4 linked regions of the Elephas maximus indicus genome follow. The protein of the gene in region 2 binds, or shares a complex with, the protein of the main gene of each other region. Links are inferred from orthologs where the notes say so. Each region holds a gene or a part of one and is shown on either strand. Other genes may lie near its edges. The genes, in order: ARHGEF6, DAB2IP, PAK1 and DCP1A.

Region 1 (7,306 bases), on a different chromosome or scaffold from region 2:
ACCCATGGGCCAGTCTGGGAAAATGCTGTCAATAAATAGTCTAGTCCCAGTGAAAATCTGGCTTCTGTCAGGAGGAGAATGCCAACTGGCTCTTAGGTCAGACAGGTCTGAACCTCGTGGGGAGCTGTGCTGGCACAACAGGGCTTGAAGAAGGTAAGGCTAAGAAAATTCTTCCTCCAAGAAAAGGCTGGATGTCATCATACTATCTAACAGAGATGGTGTGTCATGATCATTTCTTGCAAAACACGTTGAATTGTACAGTGACAACGTGCCAAGTGAATGAAGATTGTGCCTGCTGTCAGCCATCTCTGTGTATAAGCAGAAGCTTAGAAGAATGGCATTTTACTTTGCAGCCAAAAAGCTATGTTTAGGGAAATGGGCTAAGGATAACATCTGACATCCTGTTTACTTGCATTCTTTAGCAATTCTTTTTCTGGACCTGGTTCCACCACGCAATCCAGCTGTAGTACCCTTAGCAAAGGCTCAGACACAGTCTCATGAGAGAGTAAAATACACTTGAAAACAGAACATCTGAGAACAAAAGAGCACTTGTTCACACTGTCTACACTACGGTCAGGGAGGCTGATGTTTTCCCAACAAGAAACACTTCGCATTAAAAATGCTCTCTGAGACTATGTTGGCATCTCCAGTCTGGAGGGGAGATGAGAGAGCAGAGGCGGTCAGAAGCTGGCCGAATGGACACGAAAATAGAGAGTGGAGGGAAGGAGTGTGCTGTCTCATTAGGGGGCGAGTAATTAGGAGTATATAGCAAGGTATATATAACGTTTTGCACGAGAGACTGACTTGATTTGTAAACTTTCACTTAAGGCACAATAAAAATTAAAAAAAAAAAACCCTATGGAACAGTTCTGCTCTGTAACACGTGAAGTTTCCATGACTTGGAATCAACTTGATGGCAACAGGTATATAAAACATTTTAACATTCTTAAAAAAAAAAAAACACCCTTCAAAACCACCAGGGGATGGCATCTAAACACACTTTAAGCTATAAAATGGCAAGTAACATCCCTTACAGTATGTCTTTAAGGTTATTTGTCATAACTATTATTAGGAAATAAAGGAAAGTTACTTGATTAAAAACAAAATTCTCTGGGGAAAAAAAAAGTTAGTCTGTAAGAAAAGATCTTCATTATCCTCAAATATTTTCAGAACCAGCTGAAATAGTCACACTATTGGGAAATTTATCATAAGATCAACCTTTAATAAAAAAAGCGGTTAATCGCTCAGGCTGCTAACCAAAAAGGTCAGCAGTTCAAATCCACCAGCCACTCCTCCGAAACTCTATGGGGCAGTTCTACTCTGTCCTGTAGGGTAGGTATGAGTCAGAATCAACTCAATGGCAATAGGTATGTGGGTAAATGCACCACTACCCCTTTACTTCATGCATGGGCAGACACTGCCAGCCAATCTAGCTCTTTCCTGCTAAGCTTCACAATCCTTCTCAACAGAGGTTCAGGCACCTACTACCAAATAATTAGCTTAAATCACTCTGCTAAATACTTTCAAGGCTGTCTCTTCTTGTTCTGTCACGACACTTACGCCACTTTATTTATGTTATTGCTTATTGATCTATCTCCCCCACCAGAACACAAGCTCCCTCGAGTAGGGATCTCATCTGTCTTGTTTACTGCTGTGTTCCCAGCACAGTGTCTGGTACACAGTAGATGTTCAAAACTGCTGACTGATGAATGTACTTGTATGGTGTCCCTGTATAGACGCTACATGACTATAATGATTGTTTGTTTTTAATGGCTTAAACCAGACATTTTTCCATGCTGATTGAGATGTTTCAACAAACGGATGCAGCACTGGAGATGCTCACTCATCTATGCCAAGAAATTTGGAGGACAGCTACCTGGCCAACAGACTGGAAGAGATCCATATTTATGCCTATTCCAAAGAAAGGTAATCCAACCGAATGTGGAAATTATCAAACAACATCATTAATATCACACGCAAGCAAAATTTTGCTGAAGATCATTCAAAAATGGCTGCAGCAGTATATCGACAGGGAACCACCAGAAATTCAAGCTGGATTTAGAAGAGGACGTGGAACCAGGGATATCATTGCTGATGTCAGATGGATCCTGGCCGAAAGCAAAGAATAAAGAAAGATGTTTACCAGTGTTTTATTGACTATGCAAAGGCATTCGACTGTGTGGATCATAACAAATTATGGATAACATTGAGAAGAATGGGAATTCCAGAGCACTTAACTGTGCTCAAGAGGAACCTTTACATAGATCAAGAGGCAGTTGTTCGGACAGAACAAGGGGATACTGATTGGTTTAAAGTCAGGAAAGGTGTGTGTCAGGGTTGAGTCCTCTCACCATACCTATTCAATCTGTGTACTGAGCAAATAATCTGAGAAGCCCTCATTGTGGACACTATATAGATTACAATAAATTAGAAAGGTAAGGCCACCTCCTCAAGGCAGAAGAAAGAGCTCTATAGTATAAAGATTGGAGATTAGAATGGTATGGTAAAATCTCAAGAAAGCAAGTAATTCTGAGGAGTCCCTGGGTTGCACAAACAGTTAAGCACCGGACTACCAGCCAAAAGTTGGCGCTTTGAATCCACCCAGAAGTATCTAGGAAGACAGGCATGGCAATCTGCTTCTGGAAGGTCACAGCCTTGAAAGCCCTATGGAGTAGTTCTCCTCCGCACACATGGGGTTGCCATGAGTCAAAATCCACACAACAGCAACTAACAGCAACAGCAATAGCAAGTATATAAGGGAAATGACTAACCATGGAGTCCAGGCTAGGTAAGGAAGCAAGTGAAGATGGAAAGGAGCTGGTGAACTGGGAGAATGGGGAGAGGGTGAAAGACTGGAGGTCACAATGTCTACTAAGAACAATTTTCAGACAGAGTGTGAGTAAAAGGAGCAAAGGTCTCTCACCTTACTTCAGATCCTTAGTACATACACCCTGGGCCACTGAATCTGCTTTCTCACCGGCTTCTTCACCTCCATTCTCTCTCCCTAACGAAGTCTCTGGAAGAGCGCAGTTAGATGTTCCAGAAACACTTCTTCAATAGTGCAGTGCGTGTTACCCCTGCTCAAATACCCTCGAAGGCTCTCCATTGCCTAAGGCAGTGGTATTCAAAAAAGAATGTTCATCAGAATTTCAAATTCTCATGGAATCTAGACTTTCTGGAGCCATTGAGGTGTGCGAACCCCCCAAACTATTTCCCTGAGATAACCTTTAAACCTCAAACCAAAAATATCCTCTGAAGTCTTCTTTAAACCAAACAAGTTTTAACTTAACTAGTAAAAAATGTCTGCCTTGAGCATTGTGCTCTTTTAAAGCACCAATTACGTGGGATCAAATTGACAACAGCAACTCAAAAGAGTTGATTAAAAAACTTGGGGGCAGTGAGTTTATCTTAATGGGGAAGGAACAATTTAGAAAACAAGGGTAAGAGGGGTTCCATAACTTGAAGAATGTAATCAATGTCACTGAACTGTACATGTAGAAATTGGTGTATGTTCTGCTGTGTATATTAACAACAAAGAATAAAATAAATTTTTAAAAAAGAGTGTTCATAATGATCACTTCTAATGAGGGAGGGAGAAGAACGGAATGAGAAGATGGAACCTGAGACAAAATCTACCACCACTACTTACTTTGGAGTCCATTCTAACTCGTGGTGACCCAATGCGTTTCAGGGTAGAACTCCACTCCATAGAGTTTTCAAAGCCGTGATCTTTCAGAAGTAGATCACCAGGCCTTTCTTACAAAGCACCTCTGGGTGGGTTTGAACCAACAACTTTTCAGTTAGTAGCCCAGTGCTTAACCATTTGCTCTACCCAGAGACTCCTTGAGCCAAAATAGATACCAGTTTACTACAAGGGGGAAAAAAAGGAGTTCTGCAGGAAATAAGCCAAATGCTAACATTTGTTAAAGTTGTATGCTGGGTACAGTGGTGTCTGTTGTACTATTTTCTTTTACATGTTTGAAATAGTCATAATTAATTATTTTTATTTTAAATCTATTAGAGCACTTGTTAAAAAGAAGATTTCTGAGCCCTATTCTCAGACGTTCTAATTCAGACGGTCTGCCATGGGAAACGGGAATCCATATTATTAAAGCACTCCACTTGACCTTCGACTCCACCTTAACTTCTGTCAACACCTGGGTTAATTCAATATCCGCAAGAAAACGATTCAATGTCATAACCATTAGTTCCTCGACCTCCTGTAGTAGTAATTGATTCGACTCCCCCTTTTTGCCTGCACTGTGAAAACGAGCCTGGGGCCCTTCAATATTTTTTACTTTTACTTTACTTTGATGTGAAGTTTTATCAGTAGACAGCGGTGGAGAGAGAGTGCAAGAAGAAGGGGCTTTACTTCCTGTTTCCTGTATGCTCATTCCACAGGCTTCTGCAGAACTCCCAGCTTTCTTAGGGCCTGCCTTTTGCAACATTGGCCTCCCCAATGCACAGTAAGCAGGAGCTTCCCCTGGCACCAGCCTTGGGTGGTTTTGTAGTAGAGTGCCTCTAGTGAGACACCTCCCCTGTTAACAGGAAGCCAGCACCCTAGAGCGCACATTTTCAGCAAGTTCCAGAGATCAGATGTCTACTAAGTTCCACCAGCTCCGCACCACAGCAACTTCTCTAAAAAGGTCTGGATCTCAGCCCTAGGAGTGTGCGTAGTGGGCAGGGATGGATCAAGGCATGTAAGGACCCTAAACACTGATAACCTGTGGTGCCCCTTCCTCTGCTTACTCACACATTCAAACAGGATACATGAGTTCGATACATATATGTATGTGTGTGTGTGTCTTAGCTAACCATGATGTAACTTCTTTTTAAATGTGACCATAATATTAGCAATTGAATGCAAAAGTGGCTTGTGCCATTTTAGTGGAATGACTGGATTATAAAATTTTTAGTGGGTGCAGGGTACTCAGATTTTTACTATATACCACATTTTCCACAAAAAGAACATTCCACATATTCTACAACAAAGAAAATGAGTCAGTGAACTTAGTGGTCTCAACAATCAAGGTAAAATTCTGTTGATCTCCCACAACAAAACAATAACTTTAACCGATTTTGCTTTAAACCTCTCATACTTCAATTTCGATGTTTGTTTCATAAGAAATGTTATAAATGAAAAGAAGTCATAAAAGAAAACTGGACTTTCTAAAAAATTAAACACATATGCTCATCAAAAGGAAATGCTGGTGACGTAGTGGCTAAGTGCTACGGCTGCTAACCCAGAGGTCGGTAGTTCGAATCCGCCAGGCACTCCTTCGAAAATCTATCGGGCAGTTCTACTCTGTCCTATAGGGTCGCTATGAGTTGGAATCAACTTGATGGCGGTGGGTTTGGTTTTTCATTTGATCATCAAAAGACTTCACCAAAAGTGTAAAAAGAGAACCTAGAGACAGAAAAAAAAAAAATTTGGCTGTGACAAATTCAACAAAGGTCTAATCTCTAAAATTTACAGGAAAATCCAACACCTCTACAACAAAAAGACAAATAACCCAATTGAAAAATGGGCAAAGGATATGAACAGACACTCCACCAAAGAAGACATTCAGGCAGCTAGCAGATACATGAGGAAATGCTCACAACCATTAGCCATTAGAGAAATGCAAATCAAAACTACAATGAGATACCGTCTCATCCTGCAATTACTGGCATGAATCAAAAAAACAGAAAATAACAAATGTCGGAGAGGCTATGGGGAGATTGGAACTCTTATGCACTGCTGGTGGGAATGCAAAACGGTACAACCATTTTGGAAAATGATATGGTGCTTCCTTAAAAAGCTAGAAATAGAAATACCACATGACCCAGCAATCCCACTCCTAGGAATATATCCTAGAGAAATAAGAGCCATCACACGACTAGACATATGCACACCCATGTTCACTACAGCATTATCCACAATAGCATAAAGATAGAAACAACCTAAGTGCCAATCAACAGATGATTGGATAAACAAACTGTAGTACATACACACGATGGAATACGATGCAACAACAAAGAACAATGATGAATCTGTGAAACATCTCACAACATGGTTGAATCTGGAGGGTATTATGCTGAGTGAAATAAGTCAATCATAAAAGGTCAAATATTGTATGAGACCACTATTATAAAAACTCATGAAAAAGTTTCCACACAGAAAGAAACCTTTGAATGGTTACAAGGTGGGGGTGGGGGACCTTAACTAGGTAGATAACTGGTAACTTTTGTGAAGGGTAAGACAGTACACGATGCTGGGGAAGTCTGTGCAATGTAACCAAGCCAAAGTCACAGAAGCTTCACAGACATATCCAAACTCCCTAAGGGACTTAGTTACTGGGCTGAGGGCTGGTGACCACAGTCTCAGGGGACATCTAGCTCAATTGGCATGACATAGTCTATAAAGAAAACATCCTACATTCTACTTTGCTCAGTAGCGTCTGGGATCCTAAAAGCCTGCGAGAGGCCATCTAAGATACATCTAGTGGTCACATCCCGGCTGGAGCAAGGAGAATGAAGAAAATCAAAGACACAAGGGAAAGATTAGACCAAAGGACTAATGGGCCACAAATACCACATACTCCACCAGACTGAGCCAAGAACAATTAGATGGTGCCTGGCTACCACCACCAACTTCGCTAATAGGGATCAAAATAGAGGGTCCCAGACAGAGCTGGAGAAAAATGTAGAACAAAATTTGAATTCACACACACACAAAAAAAAACCAGACTTACTGGTCTGACAGAAACTGGAGAAACCCCAAGAGTATGGCCCCAGACACCCTTTTAACTCAGTACTGAAGTCACTCCTGAGGCTTGCCCTTCAGCCAAAGATTAGACAGGCCTATGGGGCAAACAATAACACATGTGAGAACCGTGCTTCATAGTTCAATCATGTATACAAGACTAAATGGGCACACCAGCCCAAAAGCAAGGATGAGAGGGCAGGAAGGGACAGGAAAACTGGACGAATAGAAACAAGGAACCTGGGTGGTGAAAGTGAGAGTGTTAGATACGTCATGGGATTGGCAACCAACGTCACAAAACAATTTGTGTATTGATTTTTTAATAAGAAACTGATTTGCTCTCTAAACTTTCACCTAAAGCACAATTAAAAAAAGAAAACTTAAGGATCAGAAAACAAATATTACAACAAATTACTGTATTTTATTTTTAGATAGATTAAAAATTTTTTTTTTAATATGTTATAACCGAAAACATTTCTTTCTATTCTTTGTTCTTACAAATTCTTCAGTGATTTCATCATAATCAAGCTGCCAGACAATACCTACTTCCATACATAGTAA
Region 2 (7,491 bases):
CCTCCAACTCATGCCCTGCCTAAGTGCCCCTCCCAAGCAGCTCTCACCACCCCCCAGGACTCCCCTCACTCAGTCAGGCCCCAAGCTCTGTTCCCTGCTCTTCCCCCTCCCCAGCCCACCCTCTACCCCTCCCCCAGGAAGAGCTCTGTCCACAATGCCCAAGGCATTTTCCATCTTCCTGTCTTTGCAGGAGCTGTTCCTTCTGCCCAGAGAAATGACAATAGGTCACACGCCTGTGGCCCAAGCCCCGAACACAGGCTTCCAGCTTTCCATGCATTCCTACTCCCATTCTTAGAACTCTGCCGTCTTTATCCCATTTACCATTTACCAGCAGAGATCACTGAGGCTTGGTGAGGTAACCGGCCTAAAGATAGTTATGTGCAGAGCTGGAATTGAACCCAATTCTGACTCAACCACTCCCTGGGCCAAAGGAAATCCTATCTATTTTGTAAGATCCCATCCAAATGTCACCTCCTCTGTGAAGCTCTCCCTGATTTCTCAGTTGTAACTTCTGCTCATTGACAGTCTCCTCCTTACCCCCAGCAGGCTGTGAGCTCCTTCAAGGCGTGGGGCACAAAGCAGGGCTCCTATACCTGTGGGGCCTGGGAGCTGGGGCTCAGGGGAAGGCCAACACATGGATTGTCCCCTTCCCAGCCAGCAGAACTGGTTGAGAGGAGAGCTCTTGTTCCTCTCCGTGCCTTGGCAGCCAGGGAGGAAACTGGACTGAGGTGAAAAGTTAAGGGAAAGGTTACACAAGGCATTTCCAAGGTGAGGAGAGGGGCAGGTTGGGGTGGGTGTAGGAGAGGCCCCAGGGTGGCCTGAGCATTATTGGACATTTGTACAAATCCTGCTTGGCACAGTATGCACCTGTTTCTTCACCAAATCGTCCCAGTACTGCCACACTCATATTACAGTGGAGGAAACTGAGGCTCTGAAAGGGGAAGTGACTTGTCCAAAGTCACACTGGCTTGTGCTTGAATGCAGATCTCTGGTCTCCAGGGCCAAGACTGAGGGGGTGGGAGGTAGCCAGAGGCCACTTCAGGGAAGACAAGGACTGGGGAACCATGGGCCTCGAGAGAACCTCGAGGCTTGAACTCTGGTCCACACCTGTGCACACCCTTAGACTCAGCTTGAATCTCTCCATACAGAGAATTCACTACTTCCTGAGGAAGCCCTGTACGTCATTGCTCAGCCCCAACTATGGGAAAAGTCTTCCCCATTCTGCGGGGAAGCAAAACTAACATTTAGTGATGCTGAAGGGCAATGTTACAGGTCCAGGTCATACAACCAGCACTTGGAGAGGTTAGACCCTGATCTGCAGACTCCATGACAGCATTTGCTCAAACCCCGTCTGGGCAGGCACAGGGCCAGCCTTCCCAGCTTCCTCTGACAAGCAGGTGGTAAAAAAGCAACCCAGGTCCCTATGAGTGCTGCTGCCTCAGCTCCACCCCTGGCTCTGTTGGCACCTTCAGGAGGGCCTGAGCCTTTGCCCAGGACTCTGGCCTCTCCAGCGGACCTCTCTCCCTTCCTCCCACCCAGCCAGGAAAGGAAGTCCTGGCCCCCACCCAGCCCTGAAGGCAGCCCCCTGGATCACACTCATTTCCAGCTGAGGATCCAGTTACTGGAAAAAGAAAATGCTGCCTGCACCTCCCCCTCTCCCCTGCTTCCAGGGCTTGAAGAAGGGAAACTTCAAAGGAGGTAAGGCCCACCCACCCACTCAGCTTCTGGCTCCTTCAAAGCCAAGGATCCCTGGGATAGGATCCCTCACCTGTCCCTCCCAAGAGGGGAGTCAGTTAAGTCCTTGGAAAGGGAAGAAGTGCAGGATTGGCGAAGCTGGGAGGCCAGGGCAGTGGAGGTGAGGCAAGGGTAAGCCAGGGTCCATCCTGGATCACTTAATGCCCTCCTGCCGGGTAAACTGAGGCACAGTGGGGCAGGAGGTCTGATCTGAGAGGTCAAAGGAGGAGAACCCTGGCTTCCAATCTCCCATCTCCTTGCCTATGGCACAGGGAAAACACTAAAGACACAAGAGGGTGCACATGAGGGAGAAGCTGGAGGTAATGGGGGTCCCGCAGACGGACTAGTGGGCACCAGGAGAGGCGGATGAAGGGCTCCCCCGTAAGTGGCTAGCAGGAGGATCTTGGGTCCCTGGCATCCCGGGGCATCAGGTGATGAAGCGGTGGTGGAAAGGGTCTGGGGGTCAGGAGTGGGGGTCGCGCCTACCCCTGGCAGGACGGGTCCGGCTGCGGGAGCGGCTCCTCTGTCGCTGCAGCCGGGGCCGCCTCAGCAGCCGATAGTAGTAGGAGGGCCTCCCGGTGCTCTTCCTGGCGCTGCCGCCCGCGGACATGCTGCCGCCCGCCGGGCACCGGGCCGGGGCTGGGCGCGCTCACACGGGCCCCATCGCCCGCTCCGGACCGCCCGGCGGGCGTCCCTGCCTTCTCCCGCGCTCGTTGGTGCGGCCGCCGTCGCCGAGGCCAAGGCTGCCCCACAAAGTCGCTCAAACTCCTCCTCCTCCCCAAAGCAGCCGGCCCCGCGGCGGGGGCTGGGGACCAGGAGGCCGGACTGGCACCGGCCCGGAAAGTCAGTGCTGGGGAAATCCCGGCCTGGACTCTAAGGGGCGAGGCGGGCCGGAGAACCCCCGGAACCCCAGGCCTCCACGTAGGGAAGCAGGAGGGCCTCCCCCGTCTCCCAGCGCCTGAGGACTCAAAGCCCGATCCCAGGGCGCACGGGGCGCCCCATCCCAGCGGCGGGTGTAGATGGTGCGCTCCCGCGTGTGCGCGATCCGGGACACAGGGCAGGACACATGCAAGGCCTCCAGGCAGCTACGCTACGCGGAAACCGAGGTCCAGGGAAACAGTCAAGGTCAATTAGAGTCCGAATGAAGGGGACTACCCAGTTTTGCCCCAAGTTCACCAGGCTGAGAATCGAACCCATCGGGTCTAGCCCCAGCTGGGTTGAAACACTCTGCTTTCAGGCAGAATACATGCCTATTCTTTACGTTTTAAGGATTGTCCCATTTGATACACATTATTTTTTATATAATCAAAATTGTGGTGTATATTTCAAGCACACAAAAAGTGGAGAGTACATAACCAACACCCGTGCAACCAGCAGACTTTGCCAAATCTGAACATTTTGCCCCCTTTGATTTAGACACCCTACCCCCCCGACCCCCCCCCCCACATCCATAAATAAAAACCACAGATACTGCAAAGTCTGCATCCCTCTGGACATTTACACCTACTCTGGCAGGCCTGGGGCAGTGAGGGAGGGGGACAGGGAGAACAATTCTTACCCTGCTGTAGAGAGGGGAAACTGAGGCTGGGAAAAGGGAGCGTTCCAACTCTCTCAATTGCAACGGGCTGAAAAACTTTCACCAAGTCACTCACTTCCCAGCTCAAGAACCTTCCATGGCTGCCCAAAGCCCAGTGCCAACAAGCCCATGCATTCTTCCCTTGTCTTTGGGGCTTCAACACTCAGGCCCCAGCCAAACTGCCCTCCAGCCTCACTTCCACGGTTCCCCTGCTCCTTCTCACTTCTCTTTGCTTTACTCCCAGCCCCAACTGCCTCCCATGTACGTTTCTTTGATTAGCCAAAGTCCATCCTTTACAGCACACTTCCTCTAGCCTTCCCTGACCATCCAGGCCCTCAAGGATCTCTCTCTTTCTCCTCTTATTCCCTACTCTCCCCTACCCCTGCTTCGGAATTTATTCTTTAAACCATCAGGCAATCATCTGCCTGAGTTCTATTTCCTCAAGCACAGAAGGGAAACCGAGGCCCTGACAGGGAAGTCCGACTTGCCCCAGTCAACAGAAAAACAGTGGTGTGGCAGAGGCAAGTGCTCTTAGCATGGGATCCCCTATATGCCGTCTTAGGTGTGTGTGCGGGGAGGGTCATGTGTGGGTGCCTGAGGCAGTCTGGGGGTCCACCTTCTGAACTGCTGAAAAGTTGGGGCCCTGGAGATAGCAGGCAGTCTGGGCAAGAATCCAGGCCGGGTTTTGCACCTCACAGGGGGAGCCCCCTCCCTCCCTCCCTCAACCAGGGGGGAGGGCCCCCAGGTCAGCAGAAGCCTGGATCACAGCTGGAAGCCAGGCGCCTTCCCAGGACCAAGGGGGAGGGGTAGCAGGGGTATTGCTCCTCCAGACCTAGTCTGGGGAGTCCAAAGCTATCCCAACAAAAAGGGCAAAGACAGCCAGACTACTGGCCAGTCCCAGGAGAAGATGGAAGACCACATAGCCATCTAGGACACCATTAGCCCGCTTTGGATTAAGCACTGCTCTACGTTATTTTCAACATTAGACATTGCCCAGGAGCCTCTTTCAAAGGGCAATGCCCCTGGGAAGAGCTCGCACCCAGTCCCTCAGCACCTCAGTCCCTCAGTCGTGGGCCCATGGTAGCATGCATTCTCTTCTGGCAGGGCCACCAGAACCCACCCACTCATGCCTTGGCACATCCAGTAATAAATAACCTCCCTAGCTGGACCCACCAGTTTGGGGGAGTGGAGGGCTCCCAATGTGCGGACAACAACCCTGCTTCCAGGGTTCATCTGGCCCAGTTTTCCTCCCAAAGCAGGAATCCCCTGATCAGCCAGGTTTTAGCCTCCTGTTGAGGAGATGGGAGGCTCACTGCCAACACACTCTGGTCAGTAGCAGGAGCAAGTGATCTCGGCCTGGGGCTCCCAGCACATAGTCTTAGGTATGTGGAGGGAAGAGGGAAGTAGCCAGGAACTCTGGACCTCAGTCTATAAACACGGTCTCCCAGCTTATGCTTGGGCTCCTCAGGTCCCTCTCTGTGCCTCAGTTTCCTTTCCCGCGAGGAGAAATTACGTGTCCCCAATCGATCTACCTGTGGAGGGAGGAAGGTCAGATAATGAATAGGAAGCCGCCTGGCCTTGGAGTGGGAACAGGCAATGTCAATCATCCCAAGCAAGAGCCAATCACCTCCACAGGCCTCCTGTCAGGCACTGGGGCTGGGGTTGGGGTACAAAGTAGAAAGGCAAGATAGGAGTGAGGAGAAGTCCTGGGCTCCCTGCCCCTCCCCCTGGCCCAGGACCTCTGGGGGCAGACAGGCAGACAAAGGCTGCTCCCTGCAAGCCCCAGCAGAGCATCTGGGATCAATCCTGCTGCAGAGGCACAACTCACCCACCCCCTCCAACAGTCCCCCACTCACTGCCCCTGTGGCTTTCTCCCTCCAAACAGAGTAGCAACCCCCACTTCCAGAGACCGCCTGGACTGAGGAAGGTGTCTCAGAAAATATCCCTCCCTCCCCATCTCATTGCTTCCTGTGACACACTCCGCTTAAGGAGAAGCCCTCTGTGACTGCCCTAGACAGAATTAGCATCCCTGCCCTGCTGATCTGTGAGCCTCAGACCCTCCAGGGTTAACAGTCTGGCCAGTAGTCCTGCCCCACCCCCACCCGCCCACCTCTGTCTTGCCTCCAGAAGGGCTCCAGAAGAGGCCTGGCTTCCACCTTCATGTGCTGCTTTGGGTGAGGTCAAGGCCTCCATGGTTTCTACACCGCTGAGCCTCCCAATCACCCCTGGCTCTTTAAGCATACATATTTCTGGGTTTCTCCCCTGATGCTTGATTCAGTGGGTCTGGATGGGGCCAGGAAATCTGCATGCTTCCTAAGTGCCGGGCAGGGAACTGGCTAAATCAGACCTGACCCAACCCTACTGCCACTAACTCCTACTTTCATCCTTTTCCGGAAAAGGAGGATGCCCAGAGCACCAAAAAGAACGAAGCTCCATCACAAAAGAGCTGCCTCCCTTCGCACCCCTTCCCACTCCAGCAACCCTGATGTATCTGCCTCAGACCTTCCAGAGGCACTGCATGCGTTCCTTCTCCTTCCCAGTTCTGGCCTTAGCCATGAAGCTCTTCCTTCAGCACCCACCTAGCAAACTCCTCCTTATCCCTCAGGACCCAGCTCAAATATCACCTCCTTAAAGATTAAGTCTACCCCGAGTCCCAATGACAGACCCTCCTCCGTACTCCTGCCATACCTTGAATAATAGGGATACTAAGAGGCCACAGGGAAGCCCAGGAAGAATGGATCCAAAGAATTGCCCTCCAGGCAGAGAACAATCAGCATCCAGGTATCCTAAAGGTTGAGAGTAGTGGGCAGCATGGGAGCTGGGCTGACAGTCCAGGTAAACCATGGGCCAGGCCAGGGCTCCAGGTTAGGAGAGGCATCCAAATGCAGGGAAGGAGGGCTGCCAGGCCAGCCCAGTGCAGCCATCTTACTAGGAGGTGTTAGGTTTAAAGTCAGTGCAGAAAGAGAAAAAGAAGCATATCATCAGAATTACCCATGAAAAACCTTAGATGGCCCACAGAGGACAGTTTTTCCTCCAGTGTTAAGACCAAAAACACCAAACCAAACCCACTGCCATCAAGTCGATTCCGACTCATAGCGACCCTACAGGACACAGTAGAACTGCCCCATAGAGTTTCCAAGGAGCGCCTGGCAGATTCGAACTGCCGACCTCTTGGGTAGCAGCCATAGCACTTAACCACTACACCACCAGTGTTTCCAGTGTTAAGACAGATTATCCATTTATTCACCTGAGCACAAAGCAAAAAGGCCTGGTTTGCACTGAAGAAAACATTTTGTATGGGAGGAAAACAACAACGGGTTGGTTATCTTTAAATGCTAGACCCTACCCAGGGAGGATGGGGCAGTGGTGGTTCAGTGGTAGAATTCTCACCTTCAATGTGGGAGACCCAGGTTTGATTCCTGACCATGGCACCTCATGTGCAGCCACCGCATGTAGAGGCTTTTGTGCTACTATGATGCTGAACAAGTTTCAGGGAAGCTTCCAGACTCAGACTAGGAAGAAAGGCCTGGCCATCTACTATCAAAAATCAACCAATGAAAACCCTATGGATCACAACGGTCCAATCTGCAACTCATCATGGAGATGCTGCAGGACCAGGCAGCGTTTCATTCCATTATGCCTCGTGTTGGAGAACCAACTCGACGGCTGCTAACAATGACAATCCAGGGAAGAACAATGCTCATGCTGGAGGGAACCATAGAAACCAAGACCTCCCCAACAGAGGAGGGCTACAAGTTTGACCTCAAAAGGTTCATTCGAGGGTGAAGTTTGGTAATAATAATGGTAGCTGAGATGTACTGAGCATTTACTGTGAGCCAAATGCTATCCTCAGCATTCTTCACACTTTATTGCACTCAATTTCTCAATGACCCTATGAGGCAGACAGTTACCCACCCTATTTTACAGAAAATATAAGAGAAAGGGTAAGTAAGGCCAGAGGGCTTACCTCAAGAAGGAGCCAGGATTTGAACCCAGAAGGGATGGCAAAAGCAAAGGTCATAAGGTTGACCAGGACTTCATGAAACACAAACTGGAGGGTGGGGGGAGGGGCTGTGTAATAGCCTGGAACTTTCTTTAAAAGCAAGCTTTGACAAGGGACAGGAGGAGGCCTAGATTGAGGGGCGGAAGTCCCCCCCAACAGGGGAAGCATCAGAGCCCTC
Region 3 (6,962 bases), on a different chromosome or scaffold from region 2:
GGACCCTATAGGACAGAGTTAGAGCTGCCCCATATAATTTCCAAGGAGCAGCTGGTGGATTCCAACTGCTGATCTTTTGGTTAGTAGCCATAGCTCTTAACCACTGCACCACCAGGGCTCCTCCAGCCCAAAAGGTAGGCAAAAAGCGGAATGTAAGAAAACTCTTAAACTGGATGAACGGACACGGGGAACCCGGGTATAGTGGTAAAGGAAGAGAGCACCAACACATTGCGGGGATTGCGACCAACGTCAAAAAAATTTGTGTGTGCAAATTTTTGAATGAGAAACTAATCTGCACTGTAAACAAAGCACCATAAAATTAACAAAGGAAAAAGAAAACTCTTTGTATACTATCTGTACACATGGGGTTACGAGATAAAATGATACAGAGAACAGGCATCACCTTTAAAGAAGATTTGAGTTTATGTTCTAGCTCTGCATCTGACTTGCTGAGTCAAAAGTTCCCTCCTCTGCACCACCACAGCCCCTTGTGCTTGCCTCTAGATACTTACCATATGAGGTCACAGGTACCCACACTCTTTGACCTGCACTGGATGGAGGGCAGTCACTGAGTTCAACTTCCACTTTTGTATCCCCAGCACCTGATACCATAACTAACACAGATGGTTCAGAGAACATCTGATGATGAATGGATGCCTTATTCAAAGCTTTTTATATAGATATACATTTCATATTCTGGCCTAGATGGTGAGCACCAGAAAACAGCAACATTGTCACTCTCATCTCTGCTGCCTCTCTCACTCACCCACTTTGGGGACACTACTCAAGAAAATTTTGCTGAGTAGAAATAAACCAGTCCAAAAAGCAAGTCTGCATAGGGGAAGAGAATTAACCTATATGGTCCCTTTCCCAGACTATAGTCCTTCCCTTGCCACCCCCTCCCCACCCACCCCTACGCCCAAATAATCCCTATCTTACCCAGTCACCCTCTTCTTCAAAAGGCCACTGTTCTTCTCCCCCAGAAGAACCTAATCCCTCCTAGGTTCCCACAGGGTTTTCCCCTCTTCTTTCCTGGGCTCATGGGTCAACTTCATTTCTTCAGCAATGTCTCAGAGCTGCCAAAGAGTGTTTGGTCCTCCCCCAGTCACTCATCTCACTAAAGGGAGTTTGAGCCTCTGCCCAGCCCTACTGGACACACTTGCTCTCCTCCAACTCTAGACCTCAAGCCTCTGACTTCCCATTTAATTTACTCCCTACAGCCCACCTGCTGGAAACTCTGGTGGTGTAGTAGTTAAGTCCTGTGGCTGCTAACCAAGAGGTCAGCAGTTCGAATCCACCAGGCGCTCCTTGGAAACTCTATGGGGCAGTTCTACTCCGTCCTATAGGGTCGCTATGAGTCGGAATTGACTCGACAGCAGCAGGTTTGGGTTTTGGCCCACTTGCTGGACCCCCAGGGAAAGAGGTTGGGGGACAAATCCAAAAGGAAGGATTACTGGCACTGGGAGAAGACAGAATTTGGAGGAGAAATCTCATAGCAAGGGAGTTAGGTAGGAAACAGAGCATGCTGAGATCTCACAAAACACCACAGCAAAAGGTCCCTACAAACCAGTAACCTACTAATAATGAAAAAGTTTAACCAGAAATTGTAAGAGGGAAAGAGAAGCCTAACCAAGAATGAAGGACTTAAGAGAGGGAAGGAAAAACTGGCTATGAAGAAGAGATAAGAAAGGCAAAGCGTGAAGGGACCAGGAAAAAGGGAGGAAGCTGGGGTGGGAGAATAGGTGGGTAGGAAGAAGGGCAGGAAAAGATCAGGAGGAGGAAGCTGAAAGAGAAGTGGGGAGAGCTAAAAGAGGCAGGACCAAGGAAAAACCAGGGGGAGGAGGAAAGTTCAAAATAATCTAGGTAGGTTAGTAGAAGGCCTGACATGTGTTTCTTGGTCCCAGATAATTAAGAAGGAAGAAATTACAGTGATTAAGTCATTATACAGCCCCAAGGCTTGTCATTAACTTAGCAGGGAAAGGAAGGGGCTTCACACAAGACAACATAGTTTAAAGCAGCTTTATACACAATACTGAAATGGGCAGCTCAGAAAAAAAACCATTAGCATACCTTGACCTGCTTCTTCACAACCCCACCTCCCTATATCCAAATATCAGCATTCTCAGCCTCTGCCTTGCCCATGAAGTCACTGGGTCCTGGGCAAACCAGCAAGATGCATTCAAAAAGCTAGCTGGAAGAGATAACGCCAAGATCTGCTTCCCAATTTCGCCTCTGTCTCCTACAGTGTAAGGGCACGTTCCCAAGACTCATTCCAGGGCTTTCGCCTGCTCATCTTTCCAAGACACTTTGACAGCCTGGGAAAGCCAGAGTTACAAGCAGGATATCAAGTCTTTCATTGCAGAAATAAAGAAACTGAGGCCCAAAAAGGCTGTCTGAACCAGTACCAGCCCCCCCCCCCCCCCGCCAGGTCTCCCATTTCCCAGTTCACTTATCAGTCACGTAGAACATCCCCCCTTCCCCCGCTCAGGACCCAGAGAAAAGCTCCACGGTCCCAGCAGGCGAGAAGCTAAGCGAAGGCAGAGGTGAGCATCACCCAGGCCACCACGCAAAGGGTACTAGCAGACGAGCGCGGGCTCCCGCAGCAGAGCAGTTCCCCAAAAGCGCAGCTTCCCCTTCACACCCCGGCGAGAGCTCTGATGCCAGTGTAGGCCTAACCCTGGGTGGGATCATCAGAGGGTTCCACCCTCTGCCCCTTCTCTCATTTAGGGCCTCTTAAAAGAAAGGGAACGAAAGGAGGCTTAAAATTCCGGTCTCCCCGGAAGCTGGCGGAGACCCCCAGCGCAAGCCTAGCTGGGCACGCCCCAGGCAGGGCCGGCATTACCTGGTGGGGGGCGCCGACCCCGGCATCCCTGGCGACCTCTTTCGTCGCAGACCCGCAGCTCTCCCGGCCAGCACGACCGCGCAACAGCCAGTCTCCCCGGCTCCGCTCCTCGGCTGGGCCAGGCTCTGGGCAGCTGGACCGCCCCAGCTCCCGCGGTGCAGCACGCTCGCGCCCTCGCAGGGCGGCAGCAAAGGCGAAGCAGAAGGGGCGGAGAAAGAAGGCAGAGAAGGAGGCGGGAGGAAGTACCTTCCCAATCAGCTATTCTCCACCACCCGGTCTCCCAAATCAAACCAAATCAAACCACTGCCGTCGAATCGATTCCGACTCCAGCAGGAGGTAATTTCCCGCCGGAACCGGGCTTTCCAGGTTCTGTCAGAGTCCTGGGCGCGCCCCAGAGTCAAGGAAGAGAACCAGAGCTTCTCTGCGCCTCAGTTTCTGCAGCTGGCTCTGGCTCTGCACGAAGCCCTCTTCCAGGTCTTCTGAAGTCAGATGTCCTACAATTCCATCAGATTGGGCTGCAGTAAAAGCGGTTCCGCACCCCCCACACACACATCCCACACCCCCAAAACGTGTCAGGTCTAATTCTAATGCCCCAGGGAAAACACTGGGTGGGCCCTTATGGCTGTTTCAAAGCAAAGCAAGCTCAGCAGCAGCAGCTACCGTTTAAGTGCTAATTGTATACCAGGGGCTTTACAAATATTAGTCTGTCTCTCATCAGCCTTGTGAAGTGGGGACTACACCAGTTCACACACAACAAAACTGAGGCCTGGGGAGAATGTGGTTTCATATGGTATTTCTTAAGCACCTATTGTGTCTCAGGCACTGTAAGGAGCCCTGAGCTGAACAACACCAAATTGCAGGCACAACACATTCCAAATGCTCCCCGTTGTTGTTTATTGTCATCTAGTTGATTCGTGGAAACCCTGGTGGCGTAGTGGTTAAGTGCTACGGCTGCTAACCAAAGGGTCAGCAGTTCGAATCCGCCAGGCGCTCCTTGGGAACTCTATGGGGCAGTTCTACTCTGTCCTATAGGGTCTCTATGAGTCGGAATTGACTCGACAGCACTGGGTTTGGTTTTTGGTTTGGTTTAGTTGATTCGTAAGGTCGCTATCAGTAAAAAAAACTTGACAGCAACTGGTTTGTTTTTTTGTTTGTTTTTTAGTGGATTCAGACTCATGGCAACCCCAAATGTGCAGAGTACAACTGCACTCCATAGGGTTTTCAAGGTTGTGACCTTCTGGACGCTGATTGCCAGGCCTGTCTTCCAACATGCCTCTGGATGGGTTCGAACCACCAACCTTTCAGTTAGTAGTCCAGTGCTTAAACACTTGTGCCACCAAAAAACCAAACCTGTTACCATCGAGTCGATTCCCACACATAGTGACCCTAAAGCACAGAGTAGAACTACCCCAAAGGGTTTCCAAGGAGTCCCTGGTGGATTCAAACTGCCAAACTTTTGGTTAGCAGCGTAGCTCTTGACCAGTACACCACCAGGGTTTCCTTTTGCCACCAAGGGACTCCTCAAGTGCTCCCTGTTGTTATCATGTCCCGTCAAGTAGTTTCCAACTCATAGTGACCTTATAGGACAGAGTAGAACAGCCCCCATAGGGTTTTCAAGGAGCGACTAGCTGGTGGACTTGAACTGCTGACCTTTCAGTTAGCAGCCAAGCTCTTAAGCATTGTCCCACCAGGGCTCCAAATGGTCGCTAGGAGGTAGTATTACCTCACCGCCCCTTCAGAGAGACTGCAGGAGTCAGATTATGCAGGATCTCTTCCAGGTCACAAATAGGAGTTTGGATTTTTTTATACATACGATGGGAAGTCTTTGGAAGATTTAGTAAAGCAAAATGAGAAGATCTAATTTGTTTTTAAAAGCTCACTGACTGCTGAATGAAGAATGGAGAGTGAAGGGAAGATGGAAACAAGAAACAAGTTAGTAGATTCTTTCAGAGTTCCAGGCAAAAGATGATGGTAATGATTTGGACTAACATATTGGAAGAATAGATGAAAAGAAACAATTATGTAATAAAAATACAGTTTGCAAGGAGAAGCTGCACAACTTGGTGATGGGTGAGAGAAGGCAGTGACTTCTCCAAGACTACACAGCTGGTAAATGGCTGAGTCATCTGAACCCTGGTTTGACTCTAAGCCTACACTTTAGTTCTCTCTGCCTTGGTGTTAGTCTTCTCCATATCAACTACCACTGACACAGACATAAAATTACTGTTAAATTGCTATAAAAGTTTTCTAAACACTTTCAATTTCTATGCTTACCACACAGCAGACTGGAAAAAGTTCAGACCCTACTTTGAGTAGCGCTAGTCTGAGGAACCCTCCACTAAACTCAGTCCTATTTGCAATGACCTTCTTACTACCTGGTTCCCTGAGAAGACATGATAGTGTAAGTGAAGTCTGTGGGAATAATCATTGCCTTTTTTTTTTTTTTTTTAATTGTACTTACTATTTCCGATAATTCAGTCTACAGCTGCATTACCTTTTTAGCCACTGAAATACCTTTGGCTGACATTGAGCTTAGGCAGCTAAAACCACCAGTCTCTTTTTCATAAGAACAGCATCATTCTAGGTCTCCTCCAGTCTTCCCATATGTCCTCATTTCTTTGCAATTTAAAATGCACGACTTCACTGTCATTCAATTTTATATTGTTGGCTTCAGCCCATACTTTCAAGCTCTCTCTCTGCTATCTAGCATATTAGTTTCCTTTGGAGCCTTTGTTACCTTCAAATCTATCATGTATGCCATCTCTTCAAACATTTATCAAACATCTACCATGTGCCCTTGCCTGTGCTAGGTTTTCAAGATTAAAGGATTAAAGATGACCTAGAAATGGCCTGGAATCCCTGGGTGGTACAGTTAATGCACATGGCTGCTAACCCAAAGGTTATAGGTTCAATTCCACCCAGAGGCACCTTGGAAGAAAGGCCTGGTGATTTACTTCCCAAAAATCTGCCATTAAAAACACTACGGAGAAAGTCTATTGAGGAGGAGCCAAGATGGAGGAATAGACAGACACCTCTGGCGAGCCCTCTTACAACAAAAACCAAAAAAAAAAAAAAGTGAAACAAGTATATTTATGACAACCTAGGAGCCCTGAACATCAAAGGCAAGCTTAGAAAACGAACTGAGGGGCAGGGGGAGGAAGCAACGGTTCAGAAGCAGAGAGGAGTTACCAGACCTGAAACACAGGGAGCCCTCAGGCACCATTCCTGGAGGCGGCTGCGGCAGGCTGGTACTACCGTTCAGCCACAGTTTCCTCAGGGAAAAGCAGCCAGCCACACAGCCTACTCACACCTCCAGAACCAGAGAAGAAGAGCACTCTCTGCAAAAGCTCGGTACATGCGTATATTTTATTGCCCCACCCCACCCCGCCCCCAAGCTGGCTTCAGAGGCTGTTTTCCCTGGACCTGAGGTAGGCCCTGTTGAATGCTTAGAGCCATCCTCCCAGCGTTGGAGAAGGAGTAAATTTGCAACTGGGGGAGAAGATAATTTGCCAGCTCCACTAACCAGGGGACCTCAGGACAGAAGCAGCTCCTGTACAGGCATAAACAGTCCATGGACTTTGAGCACCTTTCCCCTCTACATGGACCTGTGTGGGCCTATTTAACAATAGGCCCTTGTTGGCACACTACAACTGTTTCAGCTGTGCGGCGGAAAGGTGGGTGTTTGATGTTTGACATTGCTTTGCCTATTAAACAGGGTCCTCACCTACTCACATCAGGGTCCTAAGGACTGGTAGCTCCACTCAGGTTACCCAGTCACCTGCAACATGGGTCCAAGGATAACTGGTACCTCCCAGTCCTTACAACCAAAAATATTGAGTGTCCATGGTCCATCTACAGAAGCCACCCACCTGTATGCTGTAGGGAACAGGGACACACTTTCCTCAGAGACACGTGGGGGATGATTCTCAGCCCCCTGCCTTGTTCAGAGCATGACACTCTGCTGCAACCAGATACGGGTACCTACACCAATCACCCCTGCCCCTCTAAAACTATAGGACAGAGCCTGTATCACATACTTGATGACCAGCTACCTGGACACCTGAGCTGAATTCATACAAGAAAAGTGAATGGATTCCTAGACTGATATACCTGATAAGAG
Region 4 (7,427 bases), on a different chromosome or scaffold from region 2:
AAAGTCCCTTCTATATCGGTCTTCTCCTGCAATAGACAATGAATCAATTAGTGTTTTTCCAATCATTCAAACCTAAACAGTCCTAATGGAGAAGATATGCCTTATGTTTAAGATCAATTTACTCATTGTAAGACTCATCAGTTGAACAAACAGGTAAGTCTCTCCCTCACTCCATCAACTGCTGTTATCAGTTTCTTCTGTATCCTTTCATTGCATGTAAGTATACTCAATGCTCAATCTAGCATCATATCTGTTACCTACATTTTTGTTTTAGCTAAAATATTTTAGTAACATTTCTTAATTTAAAAGCCAAGTTCCTGCGCACAGCAGCTCTTCACCTTTAAAGTTTATTAAAGTTAATAGGAAAAAAGTAAGTTTTAGCTTATAGGATAGTACTTTGTTTCATCACTGGGGGATTTTGATGTTTTAATGAGTTGCAAATTTTGTGATCAGTTAACAATTCCTGTCAAACACAATTAGTTGGCCATTTTTAGAACTCGGTTGAAGGAAATATTGAAACTGTAACAAAACAAAACAAAGCCCAGTTGCCATCAAGCTGATTCAGGCTCATGGAGACCCACAGAGGATATGGTTTTCTATGGCAGTGACTTTTCGGAAGTATACTGCCAGGGCTTTCTTCTGAGGTGTCTCTGGGTGGATGTAAACTATTAACCTTTCCATTAGTAGGCGAGCACTGAACCATCTGTGCCACCCAGGGACTCCTAATCTGTACCTATAAACAAACCAAAAACCAAACCTGTTGCCGTCGAGTCAATTCCGACTCACAGGGACCCTACAGGACAGAGTAGAACTGCCCCACTCATAGGGACCCTACAGGACAGAGTAGAACTACCTCGTAGAGTTTCTAAGGAGCCCCTGGCGGATTCAAACCGTTGACCCTTTGGTTAGCAGCCATAGCACTTAGCCACTATGCCACCAGGGTTTCCAACTGTAACTATACTCTGGCTTAATTACTACAGGTTTTACAAATAATTTTTAAAATGTCTTGATTAACAAAGTACAGTTCATTACCATCTTCATTTGTTGGGACAAAAGTGTATTTCGGTTTTAAATAGTTACAATGTTCACAAACAAACAAACAAACAAACAACAAAACCAACCCAAATAACCACATTATTAGTCTGCAGTTCATAGCTTACATTGGACCTTAATGTTTTAATGTAATCAGTAAACTTTTAGAGAAACTTCAAGTGTTAATCATATTAAGTTGAATTTGTTGCAATAATTTTATTTAAAAAAAGGTACCATCTTGGTTTTTTTCCAGGAGTAGTACTGCTGTAAGCTTAAATATCATCATGAAACTTTTCCTTCCTAAGGATTCAGAGGCTTGTTCTTGTTTTTAGTATAAGAAATATATTAACAACTGTCTCATAGTAAAAGAAAACTTGCCTATCTTATTTCATTGTGCAAAGTTACAATTCACTGTAAAATAACAGAAAAGATTTTGGTTATGCTCTATGAGCCATGGTTCAAATGAACAAACGATGGCAGCTTATTTTTCAATTGAGGTTATTGTAACTTGTATTTCATATTTAAAACAGAACTTCACAATTAAAATTTCAAAGCATTCAAAGTCTTGTGTCTTCACCATTTGCCCACAATCCATATTTATGCCTAACCATAAGTTTATACGTAGACCAGGAAAAGAAAAACGATTCAGAGGGCAATACCTAATACTGCTACATGTTTTTACAAAATCTGTAATTTTGTTCTTTGTGGCTTCTTCCCATACCTCCTTTTCTTCCAGGAGGGGGAGGAAAGAGGAAAACAAGATGACTTTGAAAACTCTCTTCTCTCAATTAACTGTTTGTAAATGCCAAATGGTTTGCACAGAGTTAATGATAAATATATACATGTGTAGTACATTATAAGAGGCATATTACAATAATAACTTTGAGAGTTTTGTTTAAGGGTTTTTAAAATTTCTTATTGAAATGTGAATGTCAAGCACAGATGAACTGAATCCAACAAACGTTTACGGCCTATTTTCTAGGTGTAAAGCCTGTAACTGAGTTTACTAGCAAGGATCAATTACAATAAAACGAAAATTCTGTTATTTAAACAATTACCGGAACTTCAAGCAGGGTCTAACAAGAGTCACTGAACAGACCACATAACCTTTAGGACCCTCTCCCATACAAACAGGGCAAAATGTACTTAGTCTGACTGGAGCATTCAGAGGTGACATAACCGGCATCACAGCTGGAACAGGAACGTACCTACAAGGTCTCTTTTCCAAAAATCTCACGGGAATCCTGATAACACGGAAGCCCTTTCCTAAGGGCCCTGAAATCTTCCCGGAAACAGTGTAAGTCCATTAGAGACGGACTCGCCCCATCACCCCTTCCAAGATTTGTTAACTAATTGCATTTCAAGCTTTAAATACAAATGACCTTTGCGGAGGAGGCTCTCATTTACGTGTGTTGGGAGGGGTGTTTATTATATTCACTATGTATATGCAACTTATGTAATAACCCTCAAAGCCTCAAACACAAGCCTTCAGGCATCTGTCTGACCCCACGGGTCTCACATTCCCCAAAGCATCTGCAAAGAAGGCAGGTCGCCCACGTCCCTGGAGCTGACGCCAAGCAACTCGACTCTGCCCCAAACCTCCCCGCCAGTGGTTTTTTTCCCAGGATACTTAGGGCCTACTTCTCTCGCTCATACTGCTTATCCCCGAAGGCTTCCGATGCCCCTGCGGTGCCCACCCCACTCTCCACCAGTCCTCGGCCTCCCGCATCGCCCCTCAGTCTCGGCAGCCTGCACGGCCCTTTTAAAAGGTGGCGGCGGCGGCCGAGCGTGCGTCTTTCGTGGCCAGGCTAGACTCACCCACTGGTTGGCCTTAGGGCAAAAAGTGTACAGAGCGACCTGGCCCGTGAGGTCCGCGATGCTGGTGATGTAAGGGTCGTGCTGTTTCAGGGCCGCCAAGCTCATCTCCTGCCCAGCTCTACTCAGCGACTCCATCTTGAATCCCGGAGCGGAGCCCCTCCGGCGGGGGCGGAGTCACGGGCCGGAAAGTGCATCGAAGCAAAGTTCCCCCAGCTTCGTCAGCGCCTTCGATTTCCGCCTCTTCATCAGGTCTTGCAGCGGGGCGGTGCGGCGACCATCCTGCTCCGCAGCAGGAGGGCCGGACTTCGGGTTCCGGCGCCGTCGGGTTCCCTCCACTAAACCTTTGCAGATGGAGGGTGGGGGCCGAGGGTGCCTCCTCTCTACGGGTTAAAACGTCGTGGTGCCGGGCCTCCCGCGCGCTTTCTTTGAGCTCCTGCGGGGCGAGGCAGGGGACCGATACTACGCCTGCCTCGGGCCCGCACGCGAGAAACGCCGGGGCCGCAGAACGGAAACACAGCCGTGGAATGCAGGGCTCCACGGACCGTTTGGAAAGCACAGAAAAGCAAGAGAGCATAGGGGTGCGAAAACTACCTCACGTATCAACACATCATTACCGCTAACAATTTTAGTGTTTTCTGAAGAAAAAAAAATTAAAAGCCAAAGTAGTCCACATAGAACTTCACAGGAGTGTCTTATCCTATCCACTTCTGCCCCTTATTTTCCTCGTCTTGGTCTCAAGTACATATTTCTACCCAGTTCTGGGACGAGCCCGTGAAAGCTTGAGTTTGTTGTGTATCATTTAAAGGATTAAAAAGATTATTCTTTTAGCAAACATCTGCTAAGCATTTTAAGGCATTTAAAGAGCAAGGTACTGTTATTAGCTAAAGAGAAACAAAGAGCGGAGACTATAGAGAACTCTCTTGCAGACCTGTTAAAAGGCAACATTTCCTTTATTGAAAAGATACTTTCAACTGAGGAAATGCCTGAATTGACAAATTTTGAAAGGAAAATTTCATAATTTCATCAAAATAACACTCTAAATGTGTATTGCACTGTATGTGTCTGTTAATGGAAAGAAGCTTCATGCCTTACATTCTTATCAGAATCAGGTAAGAAGCATGTACAACTGTGGACAAGGAAACACATCATTTATTCACCCTTCTTAAGCAAGTATTTATTGAACTCCTAATTTGGAACTAAGGAGCCCTGGTGAAACAGTGGTTAAGCCCTGGCTCTTAACCAAAAGGTCAACAGTTGGAACCCATCAGCTGCTCATTGGGAGTGGGAGGAAGTGATAGTCTGCTTCTGTAAAGATTTACAGCCTTGAAAACCCTGTGGGGTAGTTCTACTCTGTTTTATAGGGTTGCTAATCGTAATCCACTTGAAGGCAATGGGTTTGGTTTTTTAATATTGAACTCTGGCCCTTTGGGAGCTTCACAGTCTGTTAACAAAGGACTTCTGGCTCTGGGAGAAACTGAACGAAGTAGGACGATGGGAGGAAACAGGACAACACCAGAGATATTTGTTTTGAAACCCAGAGGATGTAGCTACTAATGCCATCTGACTCAGAAAGACTAGGCGAGCTTCATGGAGGAGGTGATGTTTGAATTGGAGCTCCAGGTATTAACAAGAGTTCATCAGAAAAGAAAGGTAAGTGTTCCCTTTCATTTCATAGTGCAGGAGTTGGGCAGGGAAGATGTCATCCGGATTTGACAGACAATTTAATTGACGCCTGGAGGGGAGAAGTCACTGGCTCAAAATTCCACACTGTCAGAGGGATTCAGTGTTAAAATCTCACATTTACTTGAGTTCTAATTTTGCTTTGGAGTCCCTGGGTGGGGCAAATGGTTACGCGATGGACTACTAACTGAAAGGTCGGTGGTTCAAACCCACCCAGAAGTGCCTCTGAAGCAAGGCCTGGTGATCTGCGGTGACAAGGTCACAGCTTTGAAAACGCTATGGAACAGTCCTACTCTGCGCACGTAAGGTCTCCATGAGTCTGACTTGATTCGACAGTAGCTAACAACCAACAATTTTGCTTTATATATGTGAATCAAACTTTAAGACCTTTTGTGTGTCTTTTAGAAAATAAACTCTGAGACTAATACCTAGCACAGCCCCTGGCATAGAGTAGACCCTAAAATGAATGAATGTCATTTTAAAACCCAGCTCTTTTTTTTTTTTTAATAATTTTTACTGAGCTTTAAGTAAACATTTACAAATCAAGTCAGTCTGTCACATATAAGCTTATATACACCTTACTCCGTACTCCCACTTACTCTCCCCCTAATGAGTCAGCTCGCTCCCTCCTTCCAGTCTCTCCTTTCGTGACAATTTTGTCAGTTTCTAACCCTCTCTACCCTCCTATCTCCCCTCCAGACAGGAGATGCCAACACAGTCTCAAGTGTCCACCTGATACAAGTACCTCACTCTTCATCAGCATCTCTCTCCAACCCACTGACCAGTCCCTTTCATGTCTGATGAGTTGTCTTCGGGGATGGTTCCTGTCCTGGGCCAACAGAAGGTCTGGGGACCGTGACTGCCAGGATTCTTCTAGTCTCAGTTCGACCATTAAGTCTGGTCTTTTATGAGAATTTGGGGTCTGCATCCCACTGATCTCCTGCTCCCTCAGGGATTCTCTGTTGTGCTCCCTGTCAGGGCAGTCATCGATTGTGGCCGGGCATCAACTAGTTCTTCTGGTCTCAGGATGATGTACGTCTCTGGTTCATGTGGCCCTTTCTGTCTCTTGGGCCCTTAGTTGTCGTGTGACCTTGGTGTTCTTCATTCTCCTTTGATCCAGGTGAGTTGAGACCAATTGATGCATCTTAGATGGCCGCTTGTCAGCATTTAAGACCCCAGACGCCACATTTCAAAGTGGGATGCAGAATGTTTTCATAATAGAATTATTTTGCCAATTGACTTAGAAGTCCTCTTAAACCATGGTCCCCAAACCCCCGCCCTTGCTCCACTGACCTTTGAAGCATTCAGTTTATCCCGGAAACTTCTTTGCTTTTGGTCCAGTCCAGTTGAGCTGACCTTCCGTGTATTGAGTATTGTCCTTCCCTTCACCTAAAGTAGTTCTTATCTACTAACTAACCAGTAAATAACCCTCTCCTACCCTCCCTCCCTCGTAACCACAAAAGTATGTGTTCTTCTCAGTTTATACTATTTCTCAAGATCTTATAATAGTGGTCTTATACAATATTTGTCCTTTTGCCTCTGACTCATTTCGCTCAGCATAATGCCTTCCAGGTTCCTCCATGTTATGAAATGTTTCACAGATTGGTCACTGTTCTTTATCGATGCGTAGTATTCCATTGTGTGAATATACCACAATTTATTTATCCATTCATCCGTTGATGGACACCTTGGTTGCTTCCAGCTTTTTGCTATTGTAAACAGAGCTGCAGTAAACACAGGTGTGCATATATCTGTTTCTGTGAAGGCTCTTATTTCTCTAGGGTATATTCCGAGGAGTGGGATTTCTGGGTTGTATGGTAGTTCTATTTCTAACTTTTTAAGAAAACGCCAGATAGATTTCCAAAGTGGTTGTACCATTTTACATTCCCACCAGCAGTGTATAAGAGTTCCAATTTCTCCGCAGCCTCTCCAACATTTATTATTTTGTGTTTTTTGGATTAATGCCAGCCTTGTTGGAGTGAGATGGAATCTCATCGTAGTTTTAATTTGCATTTCTCTAATGGCTGATGATCGAGAGCATTTTCTCATGTATCTGTTAGCTGCCTGAATATCTTCTTTAGTGAAGTGTGTGTTCATATCCTTTGCCCACTTCTTGATTGGGTTGTTTGTCTTTTTGTGGTTGAGGTTTAACAGAATCATATAGATTTTAGAGATCAGGCACTGGTCAGAGATGTCATAGCTGAAAATTCTTTCCCAGTCTGTAGGTGGTCTTTCTACTCTTTTGGTGAAGTCTTTAGATGAGCATAGGTGTTTGATTTTTAGGAGCTCCCAGTTATCTGGTTTCTCTTCATCATTTTTGGTAATGTTTTGTATTCTGTTTATGCCTTGTATTAGGGCTCTTAACGTTGTCCCTATTTTTTCTTCCATGATCTTTATCGTTTTAGTCTTTATGTTTAGGTCTTTGATCCACTTGGAGTTAGTTTTTGTGCATGGTGTGAGGTATGGGTCCTGTTTCATTTTTTTGCAAATGGATATCCAGTTATGCCAGCACCATTTGTTAAAAAGACTATCTTTTCCCCAATTAACTGACACTGGGCCTTTGTCAAATATCAGCTGCTCATATGTGGATGGATTTATATCTGGGTTCTCAATTCTGTTCCACTGGTCTATGTGTCTGTTGTTGTACCAGTACCAGGCTGTTTTGACTACTGTGGCTGTATAATAGGTTCTAAAATCAGGTAGAGTGAGGCCTCCCACTTTCTTCTTCTTTTTCAGTAATGCTTTACTTATCCGGGGCTTCTTTCCCTTCCATATGAAGTTGGTGATTTGTTTCTCCATCACATTAAAAAATGTCATTGGAATTTGGATCGGAAGTGCATTGTATGTATAGATGGCTTTTGGGAGAATAGACATTTTTACTATGTTAAGTCTTCCTA

The links.
Region 1: DAB2IP (region 2) and ARHGEF6 share a complex: the UniProt entries of both Homo sapiens proteins name them as parts of the cytoplasmic complex. The link is inferred for Elephas maximus indicus from reciprocal best matches to the Homo sapiens genes DAB2IP and ARHGEF6.
Region 3: DAB2IP (region 2) and PAK1 share a complex: the UniProt entries of both Homo sapiens proteins name them as parts of the cytoplasmic complex. The link is inferred for Elephas maximus indicus from reciprocal best matches to the Homo sapiens genes DAB2IP and PAK1.
Region 4: DAB2IP (region 2) and DCP1A share a complex: the UniProt entries of both Homo sapiens proteins name them as parts of the cytoplasmic complex. The link is inferred for Elephas maximus indicus from reciprocal best matches to the Homo sapiens genes DAB2IP and DCP1A.

What each region holds. Positions count from the first base shown.
Region 1 is NC_064846.1:19,039,235-19,046,540, reverse strand, and holds the start of ARHGEF6 (rho guanine nucleotide exchange factor 6), read right to left. Parts: upstream 3,011-7,306; 5' UTR 2,924-3,010; intron 1-2,923. UniProt on the Homo sapiens protein: Acts as a RAC1 guanine nucleotide exchange factor (GEF).
Region 2 is NC_064827.1:71,757,760-71,765,250, reverse strand, and holds the start of DAB2IP (disabled homolog 2-interacting protein), read right to left. Parts: upstream 3,023-7,491; 5' UTR 2,345-3,022; coding exon 2,221-2,344; intron 1-2,220. UniProt on the Homo sapiens protein: Functions as a scaffold protein implicated in the regulation of a large spectrum of both general and specialized signaling pathways.
Region 3 is NC_064825.1:44,661,019-44,667,980, reverse strand, and holds the start of PAK1 (serine/threonine-protein kinase PAK 1), read right to left. Parts: upstream 3,021-6,962; 5' UTR 2,843-3,020; intron 1-2,842. UniProt on the Homo sapiens protein: Protein kinase involved in intracellular signaling pathways downstream of integrins and receptor-type kinases that plays an important role in cytoskeleton dynamics, in cell adhesion, migration, proliferation, apoptosis, mitosis, and in vesicle-mediated transport processes.
Region 4 is NC_064838.1:57,513,896-57,521,322, forward strand, and holds the start of DCP1A (mRNA-decapping enzyme 1A), read right to left. Parts: upstream 3,019-7,427; 5' UTR 2,986-3,018; coding exon 2,851-2,985; intron 27-2,850; coding exon 1-26. UniProt on the Homo sapiens protein: Necessary for the degradation of mRNAs, both in normal mRNA turnover and in nonsense-mediated mRNA decay. Removes the 7-methyl guanine cap structure from mRNA molecules, yielding a 5'-phosphorylated mRNA fragment and 7m-GDP.